4 linked regions of the Yarrowia lipolytica genome follow. The protein of the gene in region 1 interacts with the protein of each later gene in a pairwise test. Links are inferred from orthologs where the notes say so. Each region holds a gene or a part of one and is shown in the gene's direction. Other genes may lie near its edges.

Region 1 (7,578 bases):
GGAACTTTGATCTGCTGCATGCTGATCAGCTACAGAGCAGGATGCGGGGGTGACAAAGGCGAAGGGAGTAGGAGATAGTAAAAGATGAACACTTTGATAGGATGTAGAAGTCTCTGTGGTTCAGGAATTCTATTTTTGCCTGTTTACTGGTCATATTCCACACATTACTTCACAGTATACCGTCTCGTTGTATGGAGAGTGACTCAGGAAGAGTCTCGGTAACGTCATAAGGCGGGAAATATCCTGAGGATCATTCTGATACCATGATACATAGGGTAGGGTATATTTCATTGTACTCGTGTTCAATAACTCCAACAGATCACCCAATACGTACGCTTGTATTTTTTTTTATTTTTTTTCTCACACTCAATTTTCCATTCCGAAAATGAACTGAAGTTTGACACCTACTTGTAGATGCAGAAACAAAAACCAGACACCAACCAACTTGTAGGCTGTCATTCTCGTAGTTGCAATAATGCTGCTGATGCTGATATGACAGGTGACAGAATCCAGTCTTTTTTATGCATTCTACAAGTACTGTAGGTGCTGTAACCATTATTGTAGTCCAATATCTCCGCTCGACAACTAGTCTAATTTCACCAAAAAATTTAGTTGGGGATTTACTCATTAACAAGTATTAACTGTTCGTTTAGTAAGTATGTGCATCTCTCTACTTGGTTTATTTTGGCCTTTGTTAGTTAGGAATGTCAAGTACAAGTAGCTTCGGTACGAGTATCAACTACAATGCTGTATCGAGCCGTACACACTGTATGGCGGCAAAATCACCCTCTCCACCTTACCAGTACATTCTGACCCACCCCTTTTGCCCCCTCCATGTTCTACCTCCCCCTTCACGACAACAATACGTCAAGTGTTTCAAATGCGGTTGAATTTCGCCTGATTTTGGAATTTCAGCAGCCCACCACCCCAACCTCGGCCAAACGAAAGCGGTTAATATGCGGTCGAATAATATCTGGAATATCTGGAATATTACGTCAGATTTTACGTCAAATGTTATCTACAAGTAGCAGCCATTTCCTTTTCTGTGTCAAAGGCTTCCGTTTCTAGCGTGACAGCTGTCGCCCACTCTACAGGGCCATGCAGGGAGACACGCGAATTAATACTGCGACAGTGCAGAGCGAAACTTCTGGAATCAAGCTGAAACATAAAAATGTACGACTCAAAGTCCTGCCTGCAGCACATTACAGTAGTACAGTATGTACAAGTGGGAGGACCGGTGGTTGTATGTACCGCATTTTTATGAGTAAAATATTGTACATACAAACAAGTACAGTACAGTATGCACTTTCACTTGTACACTGGCAGTGGGTCCCATGCGCGCTAGTGCCTTGTTTGTACACGCAAACCACTGTGGCAGACCTACCTCAACTCGTACAAGTGCTCTTGTTCTATACTTGACATCGCAAAGTATATACTTGGGTGTAGCAGTTGAGCACATACCCGCAATTGTATTGGTTAGAACGAACTGTCAAATCGGCTTTTACTCGGAGAAAAACACTCGTTAGAGTCCATCGTGTCACGTGCTTCACTCAACTCCAGACGCCCCTCAACACCCCTGTAGATGCATACAGGACCCACCTCATGCGCTGAAATGTACGATTTCAAGTGGAGTGCATGGTGGTGGAATCCTAGCGTACGTTATTGGGAATGTAAAGCGGGTGTCTCAGCTCCCCCTCGTCTGGTTCCGCGCTCTCTTCGACCACAGCAACTGGGGACCGCAACCATGGACACACACAGCAACCAGAAGGCGCAAACAAGTCGCAAACAAGTCGCAAACAAGGCACAAACAATGGCTTTTTTTTTTTTTTTTTTTTCTGCATAAACATTCATTTAATTATAACTTTGCTGTGAAAGAATAACCTTTGAAATGAATGTACGCTTACACGAATATTACTAATTAAACACGTTTAGTGTCATGGTCCAAAATGGCTTCTCTCACTATGGACTCTGTTTCCCCCAAACTCCAACAAATGCTAAACACACACTGTTTCACACGTGAAAGAAAATACACTCGGGTCCAACTCCACACACCCCTGTAACTTTAGTCAGACAAACGAACAGATATACAAGCATATTCCATGTGGCCATGTACACCTTGCGTGCAACCGAGAGCCTATCTGCGTTTGAAAAACAGAGTGTAGCGGAGACGATTTGGATTTTTCACAAAAAGCACCGGTCCATCTTAGTGTGTGGTCTGGTTGTTCAGAGTTGCACAGGGGTATCAGGGGTGTCTATGCTTGCTTTTTAGGCTGCTGAATCCTGCTAAATATAACGGCACTGCACGATAATAGCTTCAGATCCATATGATAGGAATATATCGTACGATACTGGATGGCGCTACCAGTTCTATACGAGCAGTGAGTGCTACAAGTGGTATTAGTATCACTGTGGCCATTAATTGGTGTCGGTTCTGTACATACAATGCCTCTATTGTTGGTTTTGTCAGCAGAGGTACTTTTTTGCAGCAAAACACTCTCTGATTGCACTCTGTCTGCACTCTGTTTGCACTGGGTAAGTGCTTTTCTCGTAAAGCTGATAAGGTGCTTTTGCCACGCTTTTTCAGCACCCCCATATTCTTGTCTATTTCCTTTTTGCAAACCCAGACTCAATATCTGCCAATATGGTGACAGGCATGGTGCATACGTACAGTATGTACCAGTTTTGCAGTTCAGTACGATCGTTAGATAGAGCACAATTGTATCACGGTGTCTTGCCGTGGAAAAGGTACGGAAACAAGGTGAATCTATTATTTATGATTGAACGGGGCTGCCGAATCGATATCTGGACTCCACATTGAGACCCCACTAGTTTACGTTCCCTGCTACATACTGTAAGCCAGTCTTCCTGAAATCATCGTTGCCAGCCTTTGCCCCAACTATATGCACTCCCTCAGTTCATCATATTCAAGAAAAATCACTCACAAATTCCCTCTTTGATGGTATTTCTTTTTTCGGGCCGCCATAAGGCGCAAACGGCCATCGACATTACAAGACACAGGGCTTGGTACTCGATGATAATTCTAACCTAATAAGACGAGATAGACGGCAAATTGAGTCTTTACGGCTGCTGAAGAGTTTGTTACTTGTGTGAGTGGGTAGATGCTTGCGGCACTGCAGCTACAGAGAAGTTATTTGCTGAGTGGTGCATTCCATCTTGCCATCTTCTGGAAACTACGATCTTATCTACAAGTAGTGATCTCTTTGTATTCAAGTTGATCTTTTTTGCGGGACCTATCAAGGTCAACTCTACCTGAATCAACTGTTGACCTCCATCCTACATCAGTGCCCATGTATGTAATAATTCATCACCAGCTTCTCCGATCAGAATCATTTGTATCGTCGGTGTTCAACAGATGCGTCTAGCTGGTTAAAGCTCGTATTACAGTATTGATTTACCTGGTGTGACTTCTTGGCAGGGCTCTTTGATCTATTTTCAACTTCACCACTTATTAATTTATCGCTATGTATTTTTTTCAAATATTTTCCAATTTCTCCCGTTAATTTGAGAAATAAAACCCCCCGCTTAATCATCTCTAAATCATGGCTCAAGTTTTTATCAAGGTGCATTAAGTTCAACGGGCAGGCGCTACTTGGAGGCGAAGAATAATTGAAAACAAATGTACTTGCTATTCTAATAAAAATACAGTAAAAATAATATTAAACATTTCATATCAATAATTGCAACCAGTAATTCGTTACATTTCAAATGTTTTCTCCCTTAAGAATCTCTTAAGAACAAGAACCAGTTAATCCTGTGCCTTCTCAGCTCCAAACTCTATCTGAAAAGTTTCTGGTTTTCCAAAAAAATTCCTCCCGTGCATAGTCTTATTTCCCACCCACCACACACACACACACGAACACACAATGGGAGCCCCCAAGTTGAAGGATTCTCTCAAGGCCGCTAAGGCCAACGACAAGGCCGCCAAGCTGACTGCCAAAAAGGGCGTTCTTCCCAAGCCCAAGGACCTGGCAGTAGTTGCCAAGCAGCAGATTGCGCACGAGGACGATGGAGATGATGAGGAGGACGAAGATGATGAAGAGGAAGACGAGGAGGACGAGGAGGACGAGGAGGACGAGGACAAGACTCCTGTTCTGTCTCGAAAGGAGGCTCGAAAGATGAAGAAGCTTGCTGCTGCTGCTGCTGCTGCCGAGGAGGACGATGATGAGGAAGACGATGATGAGGTTCCCCAGCTTTACGACACCACCCGTCTCGATCTGTCCGAGTCCGAATCCGAGATTGAGAATGTCGAGAACGAGGTGGAGGACATTCCCCTGTCTGATGTGGAGCTCGATTCCGACAACGACGCCATCCCCTACCAGAAGGTGACCAAGAACAACAAGCCTGCCCTGATGCAGGCCAAGGCTCGAATCTCGTTGCCCTACGCCAAAATGACCTTTGTCGACACCCTTGTGCATACGTCTGGAGCCATCGAGCTCAAGGACATCTACGACGACATGGAGAAGGAGCTGGCGTTCTACAAGCAGGGTCTGGATGCTGCCAAGGTGGCTCGAAAGGAGCTGCTCAAGGCCAAGGTTCCGTTTACCCGACCTCTGGACTACTTTGCCGAGATGGTCAAGTCCGACGAACACATGGAGAAGCTCAAGCAGAAGCTGATCGAGGAAGCCACCTCCAAGAAGGCTTCCGAGGAGGCACGACGACAGCGAGACCTCAAGAAGTTTGGTAAGAAGGTGCAGCACAACAAGCTGCAGGAGCGAGCCAAGGACAAGAAGGAGACTCTGGAAAAGATCAAGTCCTTGAAGCGAAAACGAGCTGGCCAGGAGATGACCTCCGAGGAGTTTGACATTGCCGTCGAGGAGGCGGCTGCCGACAACCATAATATTGAGGGCAAGAACCACAAGAGACAGGCCAAGGATGCCAAATTTGGATTCGGTGGCAAGAAGCGATTCCGAAAGGCCAACACCTCCGAGAGCTCGGGCGACCTGTCGGGCTTCAACCAGAAGAGAAATAACGCTCCTGTTAAGAAGCGTCAGCAGTCGAGACCCGGCAAGAGTCGACGAAACCGGGGTTAGAACAGGAAGGTAAAAGGAACTGATTATTCAGAGGTAATAGATTGAATGTTGAACTTATTACACGTGTACGAGTAGCATACCCACTGTAGATCTGCAAAGCTAGATGAGGTTGAAAACGTAAATACTGTAGCGACGAGATAGCGAAGATGATTTGATAGGGTACAATAGCGAGTACGAGCACAAGTACCCAGTGTGTGATCTACATTGAAGGGGTATAACTTAAGCTACAAGTACAAGTACAAGTACCGGTATAATGAGGTGGGGTCCATTTGTGTATGTGTACGTATTACTAAGTCAACATGTCAACATACAAGTACATCTTGTACTAGAACATACTGCAATGTTTCACAGTGTAATCTGACTCCAATGTGATACAGTGATGGAGATGTGACTCAGCTGTGGCTCAAGCCCTGACACCGACAATAGACATAGAGTCATGCTTTTGACTGACACTTTGCACCATGACCAACCTTTTGCCCACCTAACGACTTGTGCTGGATAACACAGGCCACGCACCAGAGCACCAGGTAGACTCGGACCAATTCAAACGGGTAACGGCATTGTTCTCTTTGCAGGCCTGAACTCAACACAGCAACCCTTCGGACCGTTGTTCTCAAGGTCAATGTCATCCAGCAGAGCCGTTCATACCCAAATTCAATTGATCTAGTGAACCCTGGTCACTATGGTGATGTGTCACGAAAGGCTGTCCCGATTGAGAGCTTTCGCCCACCAAATCGAGTTGTATCGTCTCACACCTTACAACACCGATCTCACACTTACCTCATTGGTCTTACTTATCTCACACCCATCTCATTTATCTCACACTTGAATAAGAACTTGAGACCGACGAAACGATCCAGGTCTCTCCCTTTATCTCTTTTTTTTTTTTTTCCTTTTATTACTAGCTTTTACACTTTTTCATGGGTTATTGCGGGGAGCCTATTAAAATGGTCTATAACTTCAGGAGGGGAAATAGTGCACAAAGGTACAGTTGTTACCATATCAGGGTGGGTTAGAGTCTCATTAAGGTAAAACACTCGTGGAGTTCTATGTGCGGATTTGTTGCTGTAGCTGTTCGAGATGAAAGTAGAATGAGGTTCCAGTCGGATCTTCCGGAAGGTATTTTTCGCCGATCTCTTCTGATCTCGCGTGGCGTGTACTTAAAGCCGAGTGATGTTACTTCGGTTAGAGTTGACACCCTTGCAGTCCTGCAGACACGACAAAGGTGTCAGTTCGATTCTTGGTTGCGCAGACAGAAAATTATCACCCTCATTAGTCGAAATGGCCTGACAGAAGCTGCAGAGAAGAGCAGCCAGGTCTAAAAATTTACCCGAATTTTTAGTATGCCGGAATTTCGGCCCTTTTCTGGTTCAGATCCATCCCAGCATCATCTCGTTATATTTATACTTGTACCTTTTATACAACCGTACCTACGTATATGTCAGTCACTTAGCTCCCGCAACTCATTTTTCATAGGCGCAGGGTGTGGCGTTCAAAAGTGTCCAGTGAGTGAACCCCAAGTTTGACAAGTAACATACTGACCATAAGCGCTCATTGAACAACCAACAGTGTGTCACTCCCCTGTGCAGCAAGCCAGTTCGTAAAGGTCAACCATTGTATACGATGCTGCATCCAAACGATGGTTGGTATGCAATATTGGCAAAAAGCAGACCACCTGTCAAGTTGGTTGCTCTTCTCAGCGGTCTCTTTTGTTGAACTGGAACATGTGAGATAGCCAAGAGAATGTGTCACATCTCTGGAGCAGCGAATACAACTCACAAGGGTCGACTATGAGGTTGCGCGGGTAAAGTGTGCGCTACAGGATACGTACAATAGACAGGCCCCGGTTCCTTCAAACACTCGAGAAGCTAACTCCGATTGTTGAATTGAATCGTTTTTTTCTGCGAAAAGCTGAATACTGTAAAGTCGTTTGCTCTCCACCGATCCTCTTGCTCACAGACTGAACCCTGGACCTTCAACAAGAGAAAAAGAAACGAAAGAGACATTGAATGATTGGATTTGAGCATAGGCAAGTTTAGTGCACTCAAGAGTAGATGGAGTTGTTCAACTTGTTTTCCCCAACTCAGCCGCCTTAGCGGGTTGACAGTCGTATAACCAAAGCGTAAAGGTCAGGTACAAACGTAGGTCATGTTCTATTATTGGACGCAATTGCTGCTGCCAGGGGCGAAAGAACAGGTTTAGAAGACGGGAAGGCAGCGGAGAAGGCACTCTGCAGAAGTCGCTTGTTTATTCTCCTTGGGGATTGATGGCTGCTTTGGCGGGGATGTATCGTCAACAGATCGTAATAGCTGGGAACAAACCACCGGCCCCGATGAATAGCAGAGCTGCCATAGCTCACAAGTTGTATGATTGTTTATGAAAGGCACACAATGAAACTGACTTCTCACAACCTCCGAGGTCTTACAAACTACTCAAATTTAACGTCCCAAACACATTTTTATGTGTTGGAGTCGCATGGAAGTTGGCCAACTTCCAAGGCACTTCGAATGGACCCTGTAACCTCAAT
Region 2 (6,584 bases), on another chromosome or scaffold:
GGACGGACGACGGGATTAGTTATGATTTTGTCTCACTTGTTAAGGTTGGTGTTTAATTCAGTTAAGAAAATTGCGGGGGTACTATAAGTGAGACAGCATAAACGGGCAATACGAAGCAATATCGAATGGTCACACACACGCATTTATATATATAAAAGCGCCTGATGAAATCTAATGATAGGGAAGCATTACTTTTATTAATGGTCAGACAAGTAGTCACTGTAGAGATTGCGTTACATTAAATAAACCTGTTGCTATCACTGGTGGGCTCCAGGCATCATCACAGCCTTGGGGATCAGCCACTTGTAGGTGGACTGTGGAGAAGCCACACCTGCGTATCCGTTCCAGCATCCAAGTAGACCTGTAGAGATACAGAAGCCTCCTCCAGCGTTGGTGAGCTTGGAGTTGCTCTGGAAGTAGCCTGCAGCCAGGAAGATGAGGGCCAGGTCGAGGGAGATGAAGAGCAGGAAGAAGGCCACTGTTGCTTTTAACGTGCACAGCGTCATGAGGAAGGCAAAGATGAACCAGCCCATGAGGAAGATGCCCACGGACTGTGCAAACTCGTCTGGAGTGGAGTAGTACTTCTCGATACCAATGGGGAAGTTGAGCATGGACCAGGAGAACCAGAAGGCGCCGAAACAGAAGAAGACGGTTGCGGCAAACGTGTTCTCGGCCACAATCTCCCAGATACCAGCAATGACTTCGATAAGACCTCCTCCGAAGAAGGCACAACCAACCATGACATTGGGGGCATGGACATTACGAGCATTGACAAGACACATGCCGAGAATGAACATGGTCATGGAGAAGGCAAACAGTCCAGAAGGAGCAGCGTTACCAAACTGACGAGTGGGAACGGGTGCAGAACCAGGGTTAAGAGTACCACCAAAGGCACGGGCAAAGTCGTCTCGGTGGTACTTGACCCCGCCAATGTGGATGTATTCATCTCGTTCTCCCGAAGTACGGACCCGTCCCAGCACAACAGGCTCGTCCTGGTGGCTAGAAGGAGTCTCGATATCTTGTGGGTGGGAGGTATGGGGTTTCAGATCGTCTGACATTGATGATTGTTGGCTGATGAGGAGATTAGAGGACCCAAAACGCCATTTTATATATCAACGAGAAGAGTAGTAGAAGCAACGAAGGCCGAATGTGGGGTAAAAGGGAAAATGTACCCCTCGGTCAGCTTTGTCTCAGCGATATAAAAACGGTTCATACCTGGTCAGCCGTGTTGGTGGAGGATTCTGTTATGGGTGGATAAACGAGTTTCTTTGTCTGGAAAACTCGCTCCAACTTGCCAAAATGAATAACAAAGTCGGTTGATGAATTCCTATCCCTTCATCAGACCACTATCGCTAGTCCTGACGCTTCGAAGTGTGACCCCCAATTTACTCGGCATAAGATTGAGATAGTAGGAGCGTAAATTGAGTGTAGTGCTGCTCGCTTAAGCTGGGATGCGTCTGGCGGGGTAAAACTTTAGCGGTCTGAATGATGATAGAAAAAAGGGATAAATCATAGGTAGAGGGCATCAAAAGTTCTGAGAATGTGTATTCCTTGGACCACTGACCCCCAAGTTATAGCTCCTCTTGGCGAGATGGGCACTAGTTGGTTCGCCGTAGTCTGTCTGGTATAACTGACGCACTAGCACAGGTGTGCTAGCAGAGAAAAAGCAACCAATTGTGCAACGTTAGTCGTAGATAACCACTATAGATCAACGTGGTAGTGCATTCTGTAGCTTTAGAGACAGTTCCAGCCCGGCAATTACCTCCTTTGGCGTGTTTGTCTGGACACTTTTAACGGGTGGGGTTGTGTTAATTGTTCTCATCGAGGGGTCTCAGATCGGCACATCATCGGGGCAGGTCAAGATTTAGAACTGAATCCCAACTAAGGTGTCCTTTCAACCCAAACAGATGGCGGGGCATGGCCCGGAGATAGTGGTGATGTATGCAGGAGTGCATAGATCCGGTGGTTGTTTTATGTTGTGATGTTGAAAGAGATAGGTCCGAGCAACAGAGGGTCCCGTGAAACAAGATGCAAATGAAACGCGCAAACGAGATGAACCGACAAACGCGCAGGCGTAAATCGACAAGCCACCCCTGGCAGGCCTATTACGTCATTGTACCAGCGATTGCTGTGATCATTTCGTCGCACAGTTCTGTCACTCCTCAATATGAGACATGTAATAAGTGATAGAGCCGCTGGTGTCTCCGGGGTGGTCCGTGTAACAATAAGCTGTCAGCACTCTTTCGTGGCTGATGGCTAGAACCACACTGTCGCAAATTAGGGCCATGTTGGTGAGTAAACACCAATCTTTGCAAGGAATAGACACGGTGGCAAACTCGGAGCTGTTCGGCTTTGCACGGCTTTCCCCAGTGAAGTTTTGTGAGAAGCGAATCTGTGACGAATGGGGACCCGATCCCTGAGATGGTAGACTCTGTTCTTCCTCCTGTTCACCTGCGTCTAGCTGCGGGTTCATTAGCCCCTTCCAGTCCGTCTCCACGTTGACATCGACCGCGTCCAAAGACAGTTTTAAGCACCCCGAGTTATTGGCACTTAATGTTACGAGCTTGCCCAACCGCTTGTATCGCTCACTGAGCTTGGCGATGTTCAGCGTAGGTTTTGGTAGCATGATGTATACCTGTGGCTGGATTTCAGGCTGAACCAGCAGGTAGCTCTCCTCCTCTAGTTTCCGTGGATCCACCGGAAGATTGTGTGTCACCACCGTGGGTCCTCTTTCTCGATGCTGTGTGATTCGCACTTGTAGTTGCAACAGACCCTGGTACTGACGTAAGCTGAGCCGTACCTCGTCCATGTGATACGAACTAGAGCTTTTGAGGGCCCGGGCAAAGTCGTCCAGACTCACCAAAAACACACACATGTCGTCAAACGCACTGACACAAACGTACTGGTTGGGATCACACAGGTAGTCGACGGTGAAGTAGGCGAACAGCGAGATGGTGGTGCCGTCATTGGAGGCTGGCGATACGATTCGCACATCCGTCGGGGCGAAGATGATGTATGCCTCCTTGCGGACGGCCATTGCTGCGTTTAAAACATCTCTCAGCAGCGAGATTCGGTCCAGTTTGACCCTCAGTTTCATTTAGTCGCGTGATGGTTGAGATTTCGTTACAGTGGCACACGAATCATGCACTGTACTTTTAAGGTTCAAGATATTTTTTGACCCTAACCCTCAAAATTCAGGCGCAGATTATGCAGAGAAAAAATATTTGTGCCCTACACATCATACACACACCCACGCACGCACACGGAAGAAAAATGTCTGAGCAAGAAGAAGTGCAGTTGCCCAAGCTCGGAAAGGCACCTCAGGTGCGAGTCAACGGCAAGAACTGGAAGGAGACCAAGACCCCGTTCCGAACCTCGAGCCTCAGTGTGCCCCTGAAACATAGATCGTGGGAACGACGGCAAAAGGAGCGGGAAAACCTGCGAATGATCAAGGCTAAAGAGAAGGAAATGAAGGACGAAAAGGAGGCTGAGCATGCCGAGAAGGTGCGACGAATCAAGGAGCGCCGAATGGCCAAGGAGGAGAAGGAGCGACTGGAGAAGATGACTGCCATTCTGTCGGCCAAGAAGCTGGCTCGACGAAAGCGGAAGGAGAAGCGAAACAAGCTGCTCCGAGAGCGAAACTAAGCCATAGTTATTTATTTTGAAAAATAGACACTCTGTTATTTGTCTGGTTTGGAGAGTATTGAAGTGCAGTACATACTGTACCCGTGAGGGAACGAGTTCAGATGAAACTTCCGCTTGTAGTACTGGAATTCAAGCAGCGATATACTGGTATCTTGTACTTGTGTGTATAAGTATCAAGAGTGATCTCTGCTTCTTGTATAACCGCTTGCTACTGTGAGCTCAACATGGAACTGCTACGGAAGCAACTACAACTACAGTACATACAGTACGAGTACTTGTACGTTGGTATAACCATTGAATGTATTCCTCACTGCTCCTAGATGACAAACTACAGCCAATCGTTCAATTTCATCGCAGTGACTGAATCACTATCTATTAATCAGGCAACATTATACAATGTCTGTCTATTCTCTGTGCTGAACCATATAATCCTCAGCTACTTTAGAGGACTCTTGTCCTCCTCCGATTTTGGTGGAGCGGGGCTGACCTGGGCAGTCTCATGCGCACTACCAGATTCTCCCTCGCTCCCGTAATCTCATAGATGATACAGGATCGAACCGCACGTGTGGTTGATCTGTGGAACAAACGTGTCCAGAGGAACGGGGGGAGCTGGGGGATTCTGATTGGATGCCAAATGGAACACATCCTGATGCTGGGGGTGGCGAGGATGTGCTGAACTGTTGAGATGGAACACTTCAACTGACGATCCATAGACACACATGATTCGGTCGCTCTGAATGTATTGCATAGCCAAAGGCTCGACTCCTGCCCTTGTAAGAACTTGACGTGGTGGCATACTGACAGGAAGACGCACCTGGTCCTCGACTATACCCCTGAGGGGAATAATTGATATCCTCTGTCTGTAGTACACGGCCATGGCTGTGGAGTCCCAGGAGAGACAGTACTTGATGGATTTGAAGTCTTCCCTCGAGTTGACATTACTAATGTACAGCAGGGCTCTTTGATCGTCATCCTCCTCATCTTCCGACAGCTCCTCTTCCGGCGAGCCCGTCACTCCCAGTTCAGCGGTAGCTAATGCAAAACGGGCGCGATTTTCGTCCGGTAGGTGCTTGACACAAATGTAGCGACCAGGAGTAAGTAATGCAAGCACTCCATCGCAACTGAGACTTGTGCTCATGCTTGTTTCCATAAGCGTGCAGTAGTATTCCCACAGAGCACCTTCTTCAGTAAAATCTTCCTCGTCCAGAGTATCTGCCTGTCCGAAGATGAGAGCCTCCTGGTTTCCAATCAGTGTCATGACCTGGTCACGGGCCTGGGCCGACATTCGGAGATCTAGACGGAAATGTGGCACGTCAATCTCGTTTGTGGTCTCAACATTGATTATTGTGAGTCCACCCAGACGCCTGGCTCTGACCCACATGATGAAGGCCTTCTGAGACACGGCCAGATACTCGATCCGGGACGGAAACTGTTTCGAGTACTTGGCCGGCACGTTGGCCAGGTTAATGATGCCGCCTCTGTACTTGGACAGCAGTTCCTCCATGCAATATAACCGCACTCTTCCGAACCCAAACACCACGGCCATGTATTCATTATCGGTGGAGAAGGTGACCAGCGGAATTTCTTCCTCCGTTTTCCAGCCAAACAGGTAGAGCGGCGGGATGTTGTTGCAAAACTTTTCGCTTCCGATCGAATAGACAAAAATATATTTCCCCAGCGAGACACACAGCAGAGAGCCGTCTGGAGAAGACCAGCTCGACGCAAACGTATCTCTGCAGTCCGGCGACAGCCTCAGGTGGATCTTGAGGGTCATCTGACGAGCAACCCATTTCTGCCGCAGCAAGTTAAGATAGGTGGAGTATAGTGGGGTGGACGACAGATCGATTGTGTAAGTCGTCGGCGGAGCCGGAGTCACCGTTTTCGTCGGCGATGTTGTAGTTAGCTGTTCGGAGTCGTCGTTGTCCTCCGACTGTGTCTGTGTCTGCTCTCCATCGTCTTCGGGTGTCTCGTCGTCGTTTCCTCTCCAGTTCATGAGGGTCTGGAGATGGTCAGTCAGCACGGTATCATTGCGGGAAAAAACGCGCAGCAACTTGCACGTCTGGCCAATGTACAGAAACGAGACCGGGTCGAGCAGCCCGATGATTTTGCCTATGATTTCAGGCGGCAATGAAATCATTTAATCGACGTCGTTCTGTGCAAAAAGTGGTGATGCTTAGGTTCTGCACCTCTGAGTTTGTAGAAATAAATGTCTAAAAAATATCCAAACCTTCTCCAAGACACTGCCATGAACTCCAAGGTCGTCACCCAGCCCGAATGGGCCTATTTCGAGCTGGAATTGTGAGTACAGAGGCTGGACCGGCGTTCGAGTTTTGCGCTAACACAGAATCACAGAAAACAACCGCAGCCAGGGCTCGTTGTTTGACATTCTCACATGGAACCGAACCATCACCTCGGCTCTATCAAAACTGTTTGGAAACGTCGGGGAGGCGATCCACTTTGACATTCTGCATCATTTTTTCGCCGGAAATCGCCAGGCGTGCATTGTCCGAGTCCCGTGCGACTATCGAGACCGGTTCCAGGCTGCTGTGGCGGGCTTTCAGGGCTCTCTAGACTCTCTGGGAACCGACGATCTCCAGTGTGGAATCCACGTGGTCAGAGTGAGCAATAGCATGACTGGAGTCAGTGGACCCAGGAGATTCTAACTCCATTGGATCATTGCATTGTTGCATTATTTATTACATTGTCTAATTGACGACGGTTCGGCTATCAAAAGCTGTACAATATTTGTAGCAGCTCCCCCACACAACCAAAAAAACTACAACTGCAGCTTCACGTATCGGCACCGCACCCGTACTTATACTGCGGTTATTCCGTATCTCTCTCTTTATTCTCCGTTCCTTGTCCAGACGCATACGAATGCTCCATATGCGTGTCGACAGATACTTCCTTTGAACCGAGGAATATCGCATACTTTTTCT
Region 3 (7,402 bases), about 2.6 Mb from region 1:
CAGAAGCGGTATATATTATTTTTTTCTGCATTAGTTCCAGTGCGAGTATCAGTACAACTACGAGCAGTCGGCTTCGGGTGTGGAGTGCCTTCCCTTACCCATTAGTGTACGGTATTTGTACTGTAGATCTCGATGGTGGCATATGCATAGATTCGAATGGTTGTGTAGCCTAGACAGTGCCCATAAGGAGTTCCTATACAACATGTACAGTAGCATCTGAGGATACTCGCGTGTTCTTGGACAGCAACTAACCCTACTGTATGAGTACAGTATGAGTAACTTCTTTCCTTACTGTTACAGAAGAACGGATTTCATGTACTGTAAAAAGAAGGAGAAAAAAAAACAGTACAATACAGAATCACGCTAATGCACAAGTAAAATCCAACTAATGTTAGCTAGTTACTCAACCAATTCTAACTAATAACCACTCAGCCCTAATAGACATTTTACAGGTGACTACTTGTACTCGTACTGCAATATCAACCATATATTGATACACGTGACGTCCCAACGCCCTCCCGAGCCACAGCAACCAACCGCGTACTCCGCAACACCAACTGCAGCTCACGTTATGTCGCATGGCGCATCGTGTCCCACAGAAGGGTCTCTATCACGCTGCATAACCACTCTAACTCCTGAGATTGGTGAACTTTAATTTAGTAGCAGCTGTGAGAAGGCCATTTGAGCTCCAAAAAGACACTCAGGAAAAGCGAAAAGAGCACTGTATATCCCCTAATCGTTACTAATCAAACCGTGCCTGTTCGGTTAAATAGGGTTAGGACTGTTTCCTCATCTGAGTGGTCTGTCCCAAACAGGCAACCTCTCGTACCTCCCAACCCTGGGTTAGGGTGTGACTTTGGCTCTGTTTCCTCCCAACTGTCACGTGAATTTCCCAATTAAGCCAAAAGGCAGTCACACATTCCCATTCCCAGATGTACACTCTTTTTTCATGCAGCTCCGGAGCATCGGCCGCCGTCAGGTATAGTGGATTTTCACCGCTCTCATTTTCCACTCACCTCAACACCCTAAACATCAAAAATGTCCAAGCAGATCGGAGGAGCCAAGAACGGCGGTAGCCGAACCGTCCCCACTGAGAAGGCCCCCAAGTGGTACGTCGCTGAGCCCACTCACGTCAAGATCCCCACCGTCCAGAACAAGTCCAAGCTGCGACCTTCTCTTGTTCCCGGTGCCGTACTCATTCTCCTTGCCGGCCGATTCCGAGGCAAGCGAGTTGTTCTCCTCAAGTCTCTTGAGGATGGCACTCTCCTTGTGACCGGTCCCTTCAAGGTCAACGGTGTCCCTCTCCGACGAGTCAACGCCCGATACGTCATTGCCACCTCCACTAAGGTCGATGTCTCCGGTGTCAAGGCTGACAAGTTCACCCCTGCCTACTTCGCTCGATCTTCCGCCGACAAGAAGGCCGAGAAGCAGTTCTTCGCCGAGGGCAAGCAGAAGGAGCTCAAGGCCGAGCGAGTCGCCGACCAGAAGGACGTCGATGCTGCTCTCATTGCCGAGATCAAGAAGACTCCTCTTCTCAAGCAGTACCTGGCTTCCCAGTTCTCTCTCAAGTCTGGTGACAAGCCCCACCTGCTCAAGTTTTAAATTATAAAAACACAAAATGGAACATGGGGGTGGAAAATGGTGGACGGTGGTGAAGCCGTCGTCTGTCAAAAGCTGTATAGCAATGCAATTTGAATTTTACTTACAAGTAGGCGCGAAGCGACTATTTGTACTCGTAGCCACAAGTGGGAGTCAAAAGTAGGAGCGTATATATACGACTGCGTGCACACGTAGAACCAAAAAAAGGCACTGGTATCTGTAGCTCTTACTTGTAAACCGCATTTTATAAATTGTTCCACAAAATGCTTGCCTGTGGTGATGGCGTTGTGCTGAACAGCGCTGACTAGCGGTGATGTGCTGTATTAGAACCTGTGTTTACATGTACTCACCGATATTTACGTCCCGAGTTCGACTCAGACCATGGAAGCCACTTGTACGTAATCACTCACTTGACAAACGGTCTTCTGTGAAGAACCATTGTACTTGTAGCTTGTTGCTGCGGTCTCTCTCTGTAAATACATTCCATGCTGTTCAGACTGCTACTGCCATGCATCTCTGGTCGCTGTTGTTCCGTTGTGAAGCGGGCATCCATTAGTGGCTCTGGGGTGTGGGAGGATGTTGCTTGTAGTTACCTACAAGTAGAACAATGATGGCTCTTCTGGCACGAGTAGTAAGAGTCGAAGTATTGGAAACTGGTGTTCTTTGCACTTTTTTTTGTATTACCAACCTGTCCAGACCTTGTTACTGTAAATGCTACTTTTAGACAACTGTCATACTGGACTAGGCTTGATAAAACAATGACCTTCTAAACTCGCAAGTTTCCTCTGACCTGGTAGATGACTTAAGATAGCTCCCCTCGTCTTTACCTCTCAGACATATTGGTGCCAGTTGCTGTTCACACAGCATGTACGGTAGGTGTCCATTCGCGATACCACTCTCTCTCAACTTGGACACTCTTCCTACAAATGTACAACCGCCTATCATGACCCGTAGCTTCTGGTGGCTACACTGCGGAATGTATCTCACCAGAATGAACACCAATTACAGCCCCTCTGTCACCATGGCATTAATTGAGTCGCCACCTGGGTGTTTGCCACCAACTGGACCTCTACCACATCTTCTGCTACAACATGTCAACATGTATCTCCTCATCTACAGTACGACGTCATCAGTGCATCGTCTATGTGGAGTGCGTTTTTTGTTTTTTTCACTGTGCAGCTTTATATACAGTCCATGGAGCCAGTTTTGGTGGGCCACGATTTGTGAAAAAACCGTCGTCTTTAGTTAAGGCTCAGTTGGTGTTTCACTTAAAGCAGCCGCCCAATGTCCGTGTGGTGCCTGCCAACAAAGCAGCAAGTATTGGGGGTGAAATGAGATGGAAAAAAGAGTAACAAGACCAAAAATGGCTATATGGACTGAGAAGAAGTACAGTTACACATTCTATAGTGACCCGCCATAGTCCAACCCCTATACATGTGACAAATATCCATTCCCATCTCTGCCTCACCTCGCCGCCACCTTATCCTGCACGCCTTACATGAATAATGTGTATGGTGTTGCTGTTCCAAAGAGTTCCATGGGAACGAAAAAAGCCATTGCTCGAGATGGGGGCGACCAATGCAGACCAATCACAATCTCACATGACCAATTCAAGGCTACCACACTACTGGACCAAGCAGCCTTCTCTGCCAGATGTCCCTAAGTTGCTATAAATGTTACGTGACGACACAACCAACAACGATTGCAAGCACCAAGTCCCAAGTCCAAATAGTCCCACGTTTATTTTCCATGGATTGGGTTTGAGAGTGCCTTGATGGGCTGCGAAAGACGACATATCGCCTAACAGCAGTGGACGGTTCTACATGTCATATACACGTATGTTGGTGCATGTGTCCTACCAATTACCTCGATAGATCCCACCATTGCCACAATAACGGTTTCACCGTCTTCCACGAGCTCCAGCCAAATGTACAGCACTCCCGTTAAGCTCTTAGTGCATATGCAACCTTATTCCAAAAATTTGCCCATTTTAAATACTTGGGTCTGCACTTTTGTATCTATCACACACAACAACCATGTCTAACAACGCCAACAACTGCCTTCCCCTGGCCTCCTACACCCTGGCCGTGTTCCCCGGAATTCCCGTGGCCCCCATTGAGCAGGACTTCCCTGTTTCTGTGCGAATCACCATGGCTGCCATTGATCCCGCCCGAATTGAGGGTGATGAGGAGGAGCCCGCCACTCTCCGAATCCTTAAGCCTGCCGACAACTTCGACGATGAGGACGACGAGGATGACGAGGACGAGGATGACGACGATGAGGATGACGAAGTCTCTGCTGAGGACATGGCTCAGATCAAGAAGCTGATCGCCGCCAACGAGGACGGTCTCGATGAGGTTGAGGGAGGAGACGACGATGAGGATGACGACGAGGACGACGAGATGGAGTTCGAGGAGGACGATGAGGACGACGACGACGAGGGTGAGATTGAGGACTTTGTTGTCTGCACTCTCTCCCCCAAGTTTGGATACCAGCAGACTCTTGATCTCGTTATCACCCCCGGTGAGCAGATCATGTTCGAGGTCACTGGCTCCTACGCCATCCACCTCTCCGGTAACTACATTGAGCACCCCTACGACATGGAGGACGAGGATGAGCTCCTTGCTCTCGGTGAGGACGACGAGGATGATGAGGACGAGCTCGACGAAGGCGAGTACGATCTCTCTCCCGATGAGGATGAGGTCATCAACGGTGACGAGCGACTTGTCGAGCTCATGGAGCAGGACGACGAGGACGATGAGGACGATGAGGATGAGGAGGAAGAGCCCGTTGTCGAGCCTAAGAAGATCCTCAAGCGAGCCGCCGAGGAGAAGAAGCAGGAGAAGGCCGCCAAGAAGGCCAAGGTTGCCTTCACCAAGAACCTCGAGCAGGGCCCCACTCCCTCCGAGCCCAAGCCCAAGCTTGTCACCCGACAGCTTGAGGGTGGTGTCAAGATTGAGGACCGAACCGTCGGTGAGGGTCCTTCCGCCAAGGTCGGCTCCAAGGTCGGTGTCCGATACGTTGGCAAGCTCGCCAACGGTAAGGTCTTTGACTCCAACTCCAAGGGTAAGCCTTTCTACTTCTCTGTCGGTAAGGGCGAGGTCATCCGAGGATGGGACATTGGTGTCCAGGGTATGAAGGTCAAGGGTGAGCGACGAATCATTATCCCCCCTGGAATGGCCTACGGTAAGCAGAAGCTGCCCGGTATCCCCCCCAACTCCCAGCTTACTTTCGATGTTAAGGTCGTTAACATCAAATAAGCGATTATCTTCCAAGCCCACAAACGACTGGCCAAGACAAACATATTGGTTAAGTATGTATTTAATGTATTATTGATATAGACGTTAAGGTGTATGCAGTATACTTGTATGTAGGTTGATGTGAATGTACTTAACCCCGGTCACACGTCACTGAGGTTCATGACTTGGCCTGGTTTGAGATTTAAGGTGCCTGAACCAACTACAGGGTGCAACCAGCTTATAAACTGGCCTTCAATATGCTGAATTCCACTGCGAAAGTCGAATAGCACATTAGTCAGAGGGTAGATTAACAGAGTGAGTGTATCTATCACATGTGTTGTTTCCAGAGTGTTGTAGCACACGTATCTATCATCATGGTAACCGATTTCCACCCCATTGGGACTCACCTGATGATGTTCTCCAGTAAGCATGTTCTTCACTTGAAGAGTGTAGTTAGGTCCCTTGAAGAATAGCAGTCCATTTATAAGGACGCAATTGACACTGTTGGCGGAAGCCATAGTTATACATCCTTCCAACAAGTTCATTCTCCTCTCCTTCCAGTTCACAAACAGTATGTCACTAAGAAAGTCTTGTTTGTCTGTTTCCTCTGAGTCTTCCCAGTATCTATGGAGATAGACAAAGGTCTGGTTTGGATTCGAGGCTCTAAAGAGATGCTTGTGTCTTGTGTTTTGGTATTTCATAGGTATCTGGACTCTCAAATCTGGTCCCTGTCGTTTCTGCCACACCACGCTGTTTTCTTCTAGGGCGATGGACTCAAACTCCTTGTTGAATTCAGAGAAACAGTACCAGGACGTAGTATCAGTTCCTCCTTCAGTTTCCACCGCTTTAACACTCCATTCCCGATAGTTCACCACATACCCGATCTTACCGTCTCCTTGTATGTATACGAGGTGTTTGAGGAACCCAGCCTTCGGACTAGGAGGACCTGCCTTCTGACTGCACTTGGTCAAAGGTCCTGTGGTGAAAACCAGAGGTCTGTTGAGTCGAATGACGCTGTTTTTGGCCTTCTCACAGAACTCTCCCCCGATATCTTTCAGGTATAGAGCCCAAACTGCATCGGACAGTTCGTTGCTCAGATGAAAGAGCTCTCTGCACGAGTATCTGAGGTTCAGCGCGGTGCGAAAGTCGACCAAAGAGAAAATCTGAGTCCAAATATCGTGGTTAAGCATGTTTTCAGTTGTTTGAGCGGTTTCCAAAGGTCTGGCAAAAGTCCTTGTGACATTGTGTTTTAGTGTATGTTAGGATGCATTTCGGTGGAAAAACATGTGGGTTCATGTTCGTTAAAGGCGATAAATTTGAAAAGTGAGAGTCGGTGACAGATTTGAGATATTTGCTCAGTAATTTTGTCATGGTTATACGATCCCTAGTTTTACTCATAAATACAGCACTTCCCCAAGGAACTCTTCTCTATCCAACGATGCTACATGCACTATTGTAGTCTTGGCTACTAGTGTCAACTTGTTTATTCGGCTTCGGAGGGTGCATCAGTCTAGATCTGGATACTAGCATCTTGTGAGTGTCATCATAATGAGTACTCGTACAAGTATCTACATTGTACCGTCTCGAACTTGCATGTGTGCTTGCACGAGTACCTATTTAGTACTGTCTCACAATGTCTGGTCTCAGTGTCCTATGTCTCAAACATCTGGGCCTTAGGGTAGCCTCCCATGCCTTAGATTCTCGTAGCTCAAAACAAAATAATACATTATATATGACTTCTAAACACTGCTTTCGGTCTCCTTTCCGTAAGACCCATCGTCTCGCTGTTCCGGGTATTCTTGCTGTTCGGGGTAATGTTCCTGCTGAACGTCCTGGAACTCGTTTTTTTCGCTCTTGCTATGCTTGACAGCTCCGGCGTTGATGTGGGTTCGGCCCCAGACGAAGCCGGGGTAGAAGACGGTCAGAATGGTGATGGCAATGAGCATCATCAGACCGTCCAGCACAAGCAGGTAGGCCTCGTGCTGAAGAAGATTGCCGTACCAGCCCTCAGCCAGCTCGACGACTCGGTAGACGGACCGAGTGAAGACAAAGCCAAAGGCAATGTATGTAGCAATGACAAAGTACTTCATCTTGGGCGACTCTCGAATAGCAATGATTTCGGGGTCATTGGCTCGAGAGTCCGCGACGTTGGGGTTACGGATACCCTTGTGCACTCGCCACAAGAAGTCAGTGGTCATGATAAAGAAAATTGACATGGTGAAGACCTGAAAAGCCATACCGGCGACCATGATGTGAGTTCCGTCGTCGGTAGACTTGTTGTCGTAGAGAGCAGTGGCTGAAATACCTCCTCCTACAGCCTGGATGACAATGGAAATCAAATCACAGGCCACGAAGATCAATGTGTACACCAGAGGAGCTACCCGACTGTAGCTCTCTCCGTAGATGACGACAAACTTTGCCAGCAGACAGTAGACACCCGCCATTATGAAGGCAGGTGCCAGAGTCAGACAGACAATCTGTAGAATGAACTCGTTCAAGTTCTGGAGATCCCAGGTGGACAGGAATCGGCCCAGGTATCCGAGAAACTCCAGACAGATGCCACA
Region 4 (8,003 bases), on another chromosome or scaffold:
GTCAAGGCCCGAGAGGCCTCCGGTGTCTTTGACAACCTCGTCCGACTGTCTGTTGGAATCGAGGACAAGGAGGATCTGCTCAAGGATGTTGAGCAGGCTCTTCAGTCTGCCGCTTCTCAGTAAGCGACTGGTGCTAACCCATCCCCACTCTGTTTTCAACACTATAGAGTGTGTAATATAGACTAGAATGTGATATTTATAACATGTGAGCGGAGCGAGCAATGATGGCAACTGTACCGGTACACGAACTTGTAGAATTGTCGTATCGTATCCAGACGAATGTCTCCTTTCACAGGATGGATGTAGGCCAGATATGTAGGAAACCTATGAGTGCTGTGAACCTGCTATGAACCAATTGGTGAATCGTACGCCGAGTCTGGAGATCACAGTGGTATAATGATATCGAAGTATTGTCTTACTAATATGCTGAGGTATCGCTGATATGGTGCATCTCGAGATGTTAGTATAAATGCTATACGCTACAAGTACCGGTACTCGTACGGTATTCGTACTGGTGGCTCTCGCTTCAGTACAGCTTGCTGCCATATAATACACCATATATTACAATAAATTATGAGTCTGCCGTCTAACTGTAGAAACGACTGTAGCACTGTTGCTGTGAGTATGAGACATGGTCTTGAACCACTCTTGAACCACTCTTGAACCACTCCTGAACCACATTAGTATGCCTTTCTTAGCATTGATTGGAACATCGCGACAGTAAGATCAAATGAGATCTCTTGTGCGCTGTAGCTAGTAGCAATTGGGCGACGCCTCGTCACTCGTGCTCCTCCTCCCTCTTCTGATACATATACGGCGGTGGCAACACCTGCCCATACATCTGAGGATGTCCGTACATGGTCTGCGGCGGAGGCAGAAGATTGCCACCCTGGTAATACGGCACAGCAGGGTACTGGTACCCTCCGTATATTGGCGGTCCCTGATGGTACATGGGATGCTGCATCATGAGAGGCGCGCCTAGTGGCAGAGGCATGTGTTGCTGCTCGTGTCCGTTGAGTCTGTGTTGACCCATGGGAGGCGGCGTGGGCTGATGCTGATGCTGCTGCTGCTGCTGCTGCTGTGGAGGTGGTGGGGGAGGTTGGTGCTGTTGCTGTGGAGTCTGCTGGTGAACCTGCTGCTGGGCAGTCTGTGGAGGCGGAGGCTGTTGCTGTGGCACCTGTTGAAGAGGCGCAGGTTGCACACCCATAGGTTGCATGATTCCCGGAGGCACGGGGAAGGCTGCATGAGGAACAGGAGGCCGCTGGAGCCCCAGAGCCGTCAGATCCTCGTTGGTCTCGTCCTCCGTTGCCTGAGAAATCACAGGCGCAGCAGGGAAACCAACGTACTTGGATATTCCAGACAAGAGCGAAATCTCGTTCACCTGAGCGTTCCGCTGATGAATCTGCTCGCTCTTGCTTTCAGGGATAGTGTAGCCGTAGTCGGGAACCATGAGATCCATGGCCCGTCTCTCCCGGTTGACTCTATACCACTCTTCGGTCGTCTTGAGCAACAAGCCGCTTCGGGCGTCACCCTGATCCTTGAGAAACTGCTGGTGAATCTGCACACGCGACGCACGTGTCTGGTTGTTGATGCACTGCAGCTTGTATTTGCGACGCGTCTTGGCCAGTTTGATCTTGTCGTCACGCATCTTGGAGATCTGCTCGTAGACCGCATGCAGCTCGGGATGTGTGCCCTTGACACAGAGCCCCATTTCCACCTCAAACGCCGCCAGCTTCTCCTTGAACATAAAGTCGCGGAGCTTGGCGAAATCGACCTCGATCTCGGCGAGAGACGTCATGGCCGCAGGCCGCATGTCGACCTTGTCTGCGTCTGCGGGAGAGTCTTCCTTGTCATTGTCGTCGCCTTCGCCTTCCTCGTCGCCCTCGTCTTCCACCTCCTTTTCCTCGTCTTCGTCTTCGTCTTCGTCTTCGTCTTCGTCTTCATTCTCCTCCTTGTCCTTGTCCTCCTTGGTCACCTCCTCCTCTTTATCTTCCTCGTGTTCATTGTCGGAGGGCTCAGTCTGGTTGATGGGCGTAGGCATATCCTTGGTTTCGTTGGCGTCCTTATTGTCGACATCAGCCGTTTCTGATTCCTTGAGCCCCTCCTTGGCCTCGGCCTCCTTAGACTCATCCACAGCCTCTCCTTCCTTCTCAGAGATATGATTCACCTCAGGCTTGATGTCCTCAACAGGCACGGGCAAGGGAGGCGGTACTTCCTCGAGAGCCGAGGCAATGGCACTGGCAGTGATGAGCCCGGTGTCAGGACCCACATCTCCACCTTCTCCTTCTGCCTTGGCTGTGGTATCCACATCCATTCGGGCCGTTGTGTCTTCTTCTCCAATGTCATCATTTTCGTCGGTTTGACCATTAACTTTGGCCCGCTTAATATCTCTGTCATCCTCCTCATCGCGTTCACGCTTCATCTGCCGGATGTGGTCTTCCGACGACGATTCGCGCCGGCGCTTGAACGACTCTTCCTCTTCGTCGACCAGATCGTTGAGATAGAGCCGTTCGGTTTCGGCCTCGGAGTCCTCGAGTTCCGAGAGCTCGGACGAGTCGTCGCTGAGGTCCGCGGGGTTGAGCAGACTTGCTTTTCTGCCGTTGGACGTGGGCAGCGGCATGTCGTCTGTGGAGACAATGCTCGCGACCGTGGCAATACCCGAGTCGGCGTGCTCGGGATGCGTCACGGAGCCCTTGTCGCCCGCCGATTGTGTGTCTGTAGCTGTAGGTGGGGCTGTGGCCGTAGCCGTGGCCGAGGTTGCGGTTGCTCCTGTCGATGGAGACGGAGAAGAACGGGTCTTCTTGTCAGTTGGTGTGTGTGTGTCTCCGTTTGTGCCTGTGTCGTGGTCCTCTGCCACGTCATCCTTCAGCTCCTTGGCTTCGTCCTCATCGTGCTGCTGCAGGTCCAGCATGGCCTCGGAGTCGAGCTCGGATAGCGGAGACGTGACCATGTCGTCGTCGTTGGCGGTCATCAATTGGGTCGGTGTCGGGTTAGCGGCGTGCTCGCTTCCGGGTCTTGTAGAGAGCTAACACGTGACCTGTCGTTCTTTTCTCGGTCACCGTCGTCGCTCGGGTGTCGTGTGGTAGTGAGTGAGTGAGAAGAGAGAGAGTAGTGTAGTGGAGCTGCCGACTATGTTTTTTACTGTTGATAACAACGCAAGTCTTTTCCACCATGCACCAAACCCAGCTAAGTTTGGTGCGCATACAAGACGTGCGGAGAGGAGCACGTTATGGGAGAGAGAGTCGACAGAGGGCGAATAGTGCACATGCTGGGCCAACCAGGTTCCCAGAAGGGCTGTCTGGTGGTTCTGACAACTCGATTGACCGGCTTTTTGTCGTCTCCTCCCCTCTCATCACCACCGTATGGAGTCCCTGCAATCGTCTTCTTTTTTTTTCCCTTTTTTTCCTTCTTTTTTTCTCCCCTTAAAATACAACCATCATCCCCCGCCAAATCCACGCCCTACCTTGCTCCCATTTACACACACGATCATACCCAACCATGCCTCCCACCACATCCCAGGGGATAATCGACGTCAGATGATCGCCGGAAAGCCACCATGGACTCCAATCGACCGTCGCTCGTCGGTGTCGAAATTTGGCGCCGTTCCGTCCAGCCAATCTTCATATAATCGCCCCTCAGCCCCCCCTGGCAGCCGTGCCCCCACTGCCGTCGTATGTATGCAGAGCCACTCATTGGTTGACGGGACAGCGGCGCGTGTCAGAGGGTGGTGGAGAAGTGAGTCAGGACTGTGGTTAAGAAACGCGTCAAGGCTGAGGTTGTCGAAAGCTGGCACCGGAGGTTGATGATTGATGGCTTGGGTTGGATCGTGTTTAGAGGAGGAGATGCATAGGTTATGAGTATTGCTATTTGTGTCAGATTATGACCTCCTTGAGCCTTGCTAACGAATATAGTGGGGATACAACTGAGACGCCTGGGTCCCTTGGCCAAACTGGCGACCGGCTCTCTTTTATTCTAGCCGTAAATCGAGAGAGGGCTAGTTGTACTATTACACTGGACGCCTCCCACACAACCTTTATATGGTGTACATGTCTCATGCAAAGTTTGAATTTTTTTTGGCAAGAGTTTGAACAGAACAAGTGAGCTCAATCATTTGACCATCCAGCGACAATGACCACCACAAAAGACAACTCCGGACTCGCCGCGCTCTTTGCCAACTCCAGTGGTCCTCGTCAGAAGCCTCAGCGCGCTGGCAAGGTCGACCCGGTGCGTGACCAGCAAGAGGATAAGATGGAAGTAGAGGATGAAGAGGAGGATGAAGAGGAGGACGAAGAGGACGAAGAGGAGGATGAGGAGGATGAGGAGGATGAGGAGGAGAAGGAGGAGGACGACGACGACGACGACGACGAAGAGGAGATCGAAGAGCCTGTTATCAAGAAGAGCAAGAAGAACAAAAAGTCCAAGGAGGAGTCGGCCGACTTGGAGGATCAGTACATGGCCAAGTTGGCCGAGGAGGTGGCCGAGGAGAAGCCCATGGTCGCAGAGACCTCCGCGGAGGAAATCAAAGTCGATGAGCCCGAATCCGATTCTGAGGACGAACCCGAGCTGGACGTGGACGAAGAGACCAAGAAGAAGCTGGAGGCCACCAACAAGGAGCTGGACAAGGCCGACTACACCATTTTTGTCGGCAACGTGTCGTCCGAGGTGATCACCGACAAGACCGTGTACAACAACTTCAAGGCTCTGTTTGCGGCCATTGGAACCGTGGCGTCTGTGCGGTTCCGGTCCATCTCCTTCTCCAAGCTGCTTCCTCGAAAGGTGGCTTTCATTTCCCAGCAGTTCCACTCCAAGCGAGACACGGTCAACGCTTACATTGTGTTCAAGAACGTCAAGTCCGTCAAGGGCGCTCTGACGCTCAACGGCTCGGTTTTCAAGGGCTTCCACATGCGAGTCGACTCCGTGGCCCATCCCGGCGCCCAGGATCACAAGCGGTGCGTGTTTGTGGGAGCTCTGGACTTTGAGGAGCAGGAGGAATCCCTTTGGGAGGCCTTTTCGTCTTGCGGTGATGTGGAGTACGTGCGAATTGTGCGGGACCCCAAGACCAACGTTGGCAAGGGGTTTGCATACGTGCAGTTCAAGGACGTCAACTCGGTTGAGCAGGCTCTGCTGCTCAACGGTAAGGGCATCAACGAGCTCTCCAAGTCCACCACTAACAAGCGCAAGCTGCGTGTGTCGCGGGCCAAGAGCCAACACTCCCAGGAACGGGCCAAGCAGGCCGACATGAAGAACATTCGAAACGCAAAGACCGAAGGCCTGTCCCGAGACGAAAAGTCGCACTTTGGCCGGGCCCAGTCGCGGCTAGGCAAGGCCGGCAAGGCTCAGCTACAGTCCATTGTACAGGAGGGTCTGCGGGCTAAGAAAGAGGACGGCAAGGTCAACCTGGCCCGAAGCAAGCGACGAGGAGTCAAGCCCAACAAGAACCGAGTCGAGAAGCCTGGCCAGTCCAGAGCCGAGAAGCGAAAGGCCATGTTTGGAACCCCCACCAACGGCGCTCCCGGAGCTGGCGGCAAGAAGAAGCGTCTTACAACCCGATCCCAGAAGTTCAAGCAGGATGGAGGTGTCAAAAAGGACGGAGACGCCAAGAAGGATGGCCCCAAGAAGGAGAGGGATGGCTCCAAGAAGGGTTCCAAGAAGAACTAATTGGGTAGAGGTTGTATAGGTGAAAATAAATAGGCATTAGATTATTGTATTGTATTGGGGAGTAGGGTGGCAGTAGGGTAGCAGTTGAAGAGTTATATAAGAGTGTGGGGTTTACAGATGTGGTGATGGGGGAGTTTGTAATAGAATCACCATGTAATTCTCATCATAATGGTCATCTCTTCCAACAACACCATGAATCTCAGCTTGGATGCTAGAGGACGCAATAACGGGAGATGAAGAGTCGTCCGAGTACGGGCAGGTCCATGTTCAAGATTAGAAAGGTTTCTTTCCTGTTTCAGAGTCCTACTTTATCTCTCCCTCGAATTAACCACTACCTGGAACGTTGAGATTATCAAGTAATTGTCAAGTAAATTATCAACTACAAGGACATTATTGTTACTGGAAAAATCAGCATGAAAGCCACCCATATCCATGGTTCATACAAGTACAGTACTTTCATCGTATACGCCTCAAGAGATACCATAAATCACATGACTTCCACCGCCTGCCACCCTCCACGAAATCACGTGCCATATACCCCTTCCGTATATCCGATGTAACTGAATAACGGTATGTCCATGCTGTACTTGTACTGGTAGTCGAACTGTAGATCTTGTGGGTAAGATTTTGGTGGCGAACAAGACCATCACAATGAGACCAGAAAGAACCATTGACTGGGTACAAGTACAAATACAAGTATAAGTTCTTGGGGCGAGGCTCATCACGTGACACACCCGCGCTATATCATTCCCGTGTCACGTGACAACGCCGGGTTCCCGCAGCTCATCCGCTCCATCCGGGACCCACCTCAGGAGGAGTTTGTAATTTCCGGAGTTCGGAGTCCGTGCTTAAAAATAGCACGCTGTAAGATAACCGCGTGCATCCACACAGCCACAGTGCGAAGTGTGAGGATCAATCAGTCTGAAAAAAAAGGGGTTCAATGAATGTGAGAGCAATTTTAGAAGAGATTGGGGGGTCTTTTGGGGCTGTGAAATACAACTCCGCTTTTATTTGGCCCCCAAAATGGGACTAAACGGCCTCATCACGACCCTTCTCTTCTCCCCTTCCATATCACACGACTTGCACCGATAACGCAATCCCCACCCTTTGCAACCTAAAAAAAGAGTGCCGTGTAACCACAAAGGTCTCGCGTCTGTTGTTTATATATAGCGTAGGGTCCGACTTTGGCGACCACCAAATAGTTTGCCCTTCTTCTTTTTCTTCCTCTTCATATCATGGGCTCCTCTCCCTCCAAACAAGCCCAATCGGACGCGCAAAAGTCGCTAACCCGGCTGTCCAAGGTGTCTGAAAAGCACTTTTATCCTGACACCGCCACTCCCGACTTGGCCACTCTTCCTCAGCTACAATCCCTGCCGGATATTGACGGTCTGGATCTCAATGGAGACAACAACGAGAAAGACATTGCCAACCTGCTGTCTGAGTGGCGAGCCAACTTCCTGGACTCTCCCAAGAACCGTCTGGCTCTCGCAGCTCTGTCCAGAAGTGACTACCAGTCGTTGCTGATCCAAGACGACAGATACAATGACCAGAACCCTGCTGTGTTCACTCACGTGATCAAGTACGACGGCCAGAAAGACACCCCCGTGACCAACCAGCGCTCTTCAGGAAGATGCTGGCTGTTTGCCTCCACCAACGTGTTCCGAGTCCAGCTCATCAAGTCGTCAGCCATTAAGCCCAAGGACTTCCAGTTCTCCCAGGCGTATCTCTTCTTTTACGACAAGCTGGAGAAGGCGTCGTATTTCCTGGAGCAGATCATCGACACCGCCGACGAAGATCTCGACTCTCGACTGGTCCAGGAACTACTCAAGGCTCCTGTCAACGACGGAGGACAGTGGGATATGGTTGTCAATCTGGTAGAGAAGTATGGTCTGGTGCCTCAGGACGTGTTCCCCGACTCATGGAACGCCCAGAACTCCGGCCATCTCAACTACTTGCTTACTAACAAGCTGAGAGAGTACGGTCTGGCTCTCCGAAAGCTCATCCAGACCGAAAAACCTACCCCTGAGCTGCTACTCTCCCTGCGACGACAATACACCCAGAACGTGTACAACATTCTTGCTACTTCTCTGGGAGTGCCTCCTGCTGCTAACGAGACCTTCAAGTGGGACTACTGGACCATTGATGGCAAGCCCCAGCAGGTCACCACCACCCCCATCAAGTTCTACAGAGACAATCTCAAGCACCCCGCCTCGCAGTACTTTTCCCTCATCAACGACCCTCGAAACGACTACAAGCAGTTGTATACCGTTGACCGGCTTCAGAACATTTCTGGAGGCCGTCCCATCACCTACGTGAACGCCGACATCTCCGAGCTCAAGAAGGCC

What was found.
Region 2: the proteins of YALI1_E06882g (region 1) and YALI1_F17547g interact in binary tests that used the Saccharomyces cerevisiae proteins (3 or more experiments, as listed by UniProt). The link is inferred for Yarrowia lipolytica from reciprocal best matches to the Saccharomyces cerevisiae genes EBP2 and CGR1.
Region 3: the proteins of YALI1_E06882g (region 1) and YALI1_E32816g interact in binary tests that used the Saccharomyces cerevisiae proteins (3 or more experiments, as listed by UniProt). The link is inferred for Yarrowia lipolytica from reciprocal best matches to the Saccharomyces cerevisiae genes EBP2 and FPR3.
Region 4: the proteins of YALI1_E06882g (region 1) and YALI1_F08757g interact in binary tests that used the Saccharomyces cerevisiae proteins (3 or more experiments, as listed by UniProt). The link is inferred for Yarrowia lipolytica from reciprocal best matches to the Saccharomyces cerevisiae genes EBP2 and NOP12.

Annotation. Positions count from the first base shown.
Region 1 is NC_090774.1:684,399-691,976, forward strand, and holds YALI1_E06882g (uncharacterized protein), read left to right. Parts: upstream 1-3,884; coding exon 3,885-5,051; downstream 5,052-7,578. UniProt on the Saccharomyces cerevisiae protein: Required for the processing of the 27S pre-rRNA. Probably involved in the step of the processing of the 27 SA precursor into the 27 SB intermediate.
Region 2 is NC_090775.1:1,751,467-1,758,050, reverse strand, and holds YALI1_F17547g (uncharacterized protein), read left to right. Parts: upstream 1-3,273; coding exon 3,274-3,645; downstream 3,646-6,584. Other genes in the region: YALI1_F17569g (uncharacterized protein), read right to left, coding at 258-1,058; YALI1_F17565g (uncharacterized protein), read right to left, coding at 1,210-1,333, 1,390-1,526; YALI1_F17549g (uncharacterized protein), read right to left, coding at 2,156-3,097; YALI1_F17522g (uncharacterized protein), read right to left, coding at 4,181-5,782; YALI1_F17520g (uncharacterized protein), read left to right, coding at 5,852-5,943, 5,990-6,308. UniProt on the Saccharomyces cerevisiae protein: Involved in nucleolar integrity and required for processing of the pre-rRNA for the 60S ribosome subunit.
Region 3 is NC_090774.1:3,277,834-3,285,235, reverse strand, and holds YALI1_E32816g (uncharacterized protein), read left to right. Parts: upstream 1-3,635; coding exon 3,636-4,859; downstream 4,860-7,402. Other genes in the region: YALI1_E32842g (60S ribosomal protein eL6), read left to right, coding at 1,039-1,602; YALI1_E32792g (uncharacterized protein), read right to left, coding at 5,000-6,028; YALI1_E32776g (uncharacterized protein), read right to left, coding at 6,578-7,402. UniProt on the Saccharomyces cerevisiae protein: Proline isomerase that belongs to an abundant class of enzymes that catalyze the cis-trans isomerization of X-Pro peptide bonds and can accelerate the refolding of proline-containing polypeptides. Specifically binds nuclear localization sequences.
Region 4 is NC_090775.1:871,579-879,581, forward strand, and holds YALI1_F08757g (uncharacterized protein), read left to right. Parts: upstream 1-4,128; coding exon 4,129-5,658; downstream 5,659-8,003. Other genes in the region: YALI1_F08705g (uncharacterized protein), read left to right, coding at 1-123; YALI1_F08745g (uncharacterized protein), read right to left, coding at 779-2,971; YALI1_F08784g (uncharacterized protein), read left to right, coding at 6,894-8,003.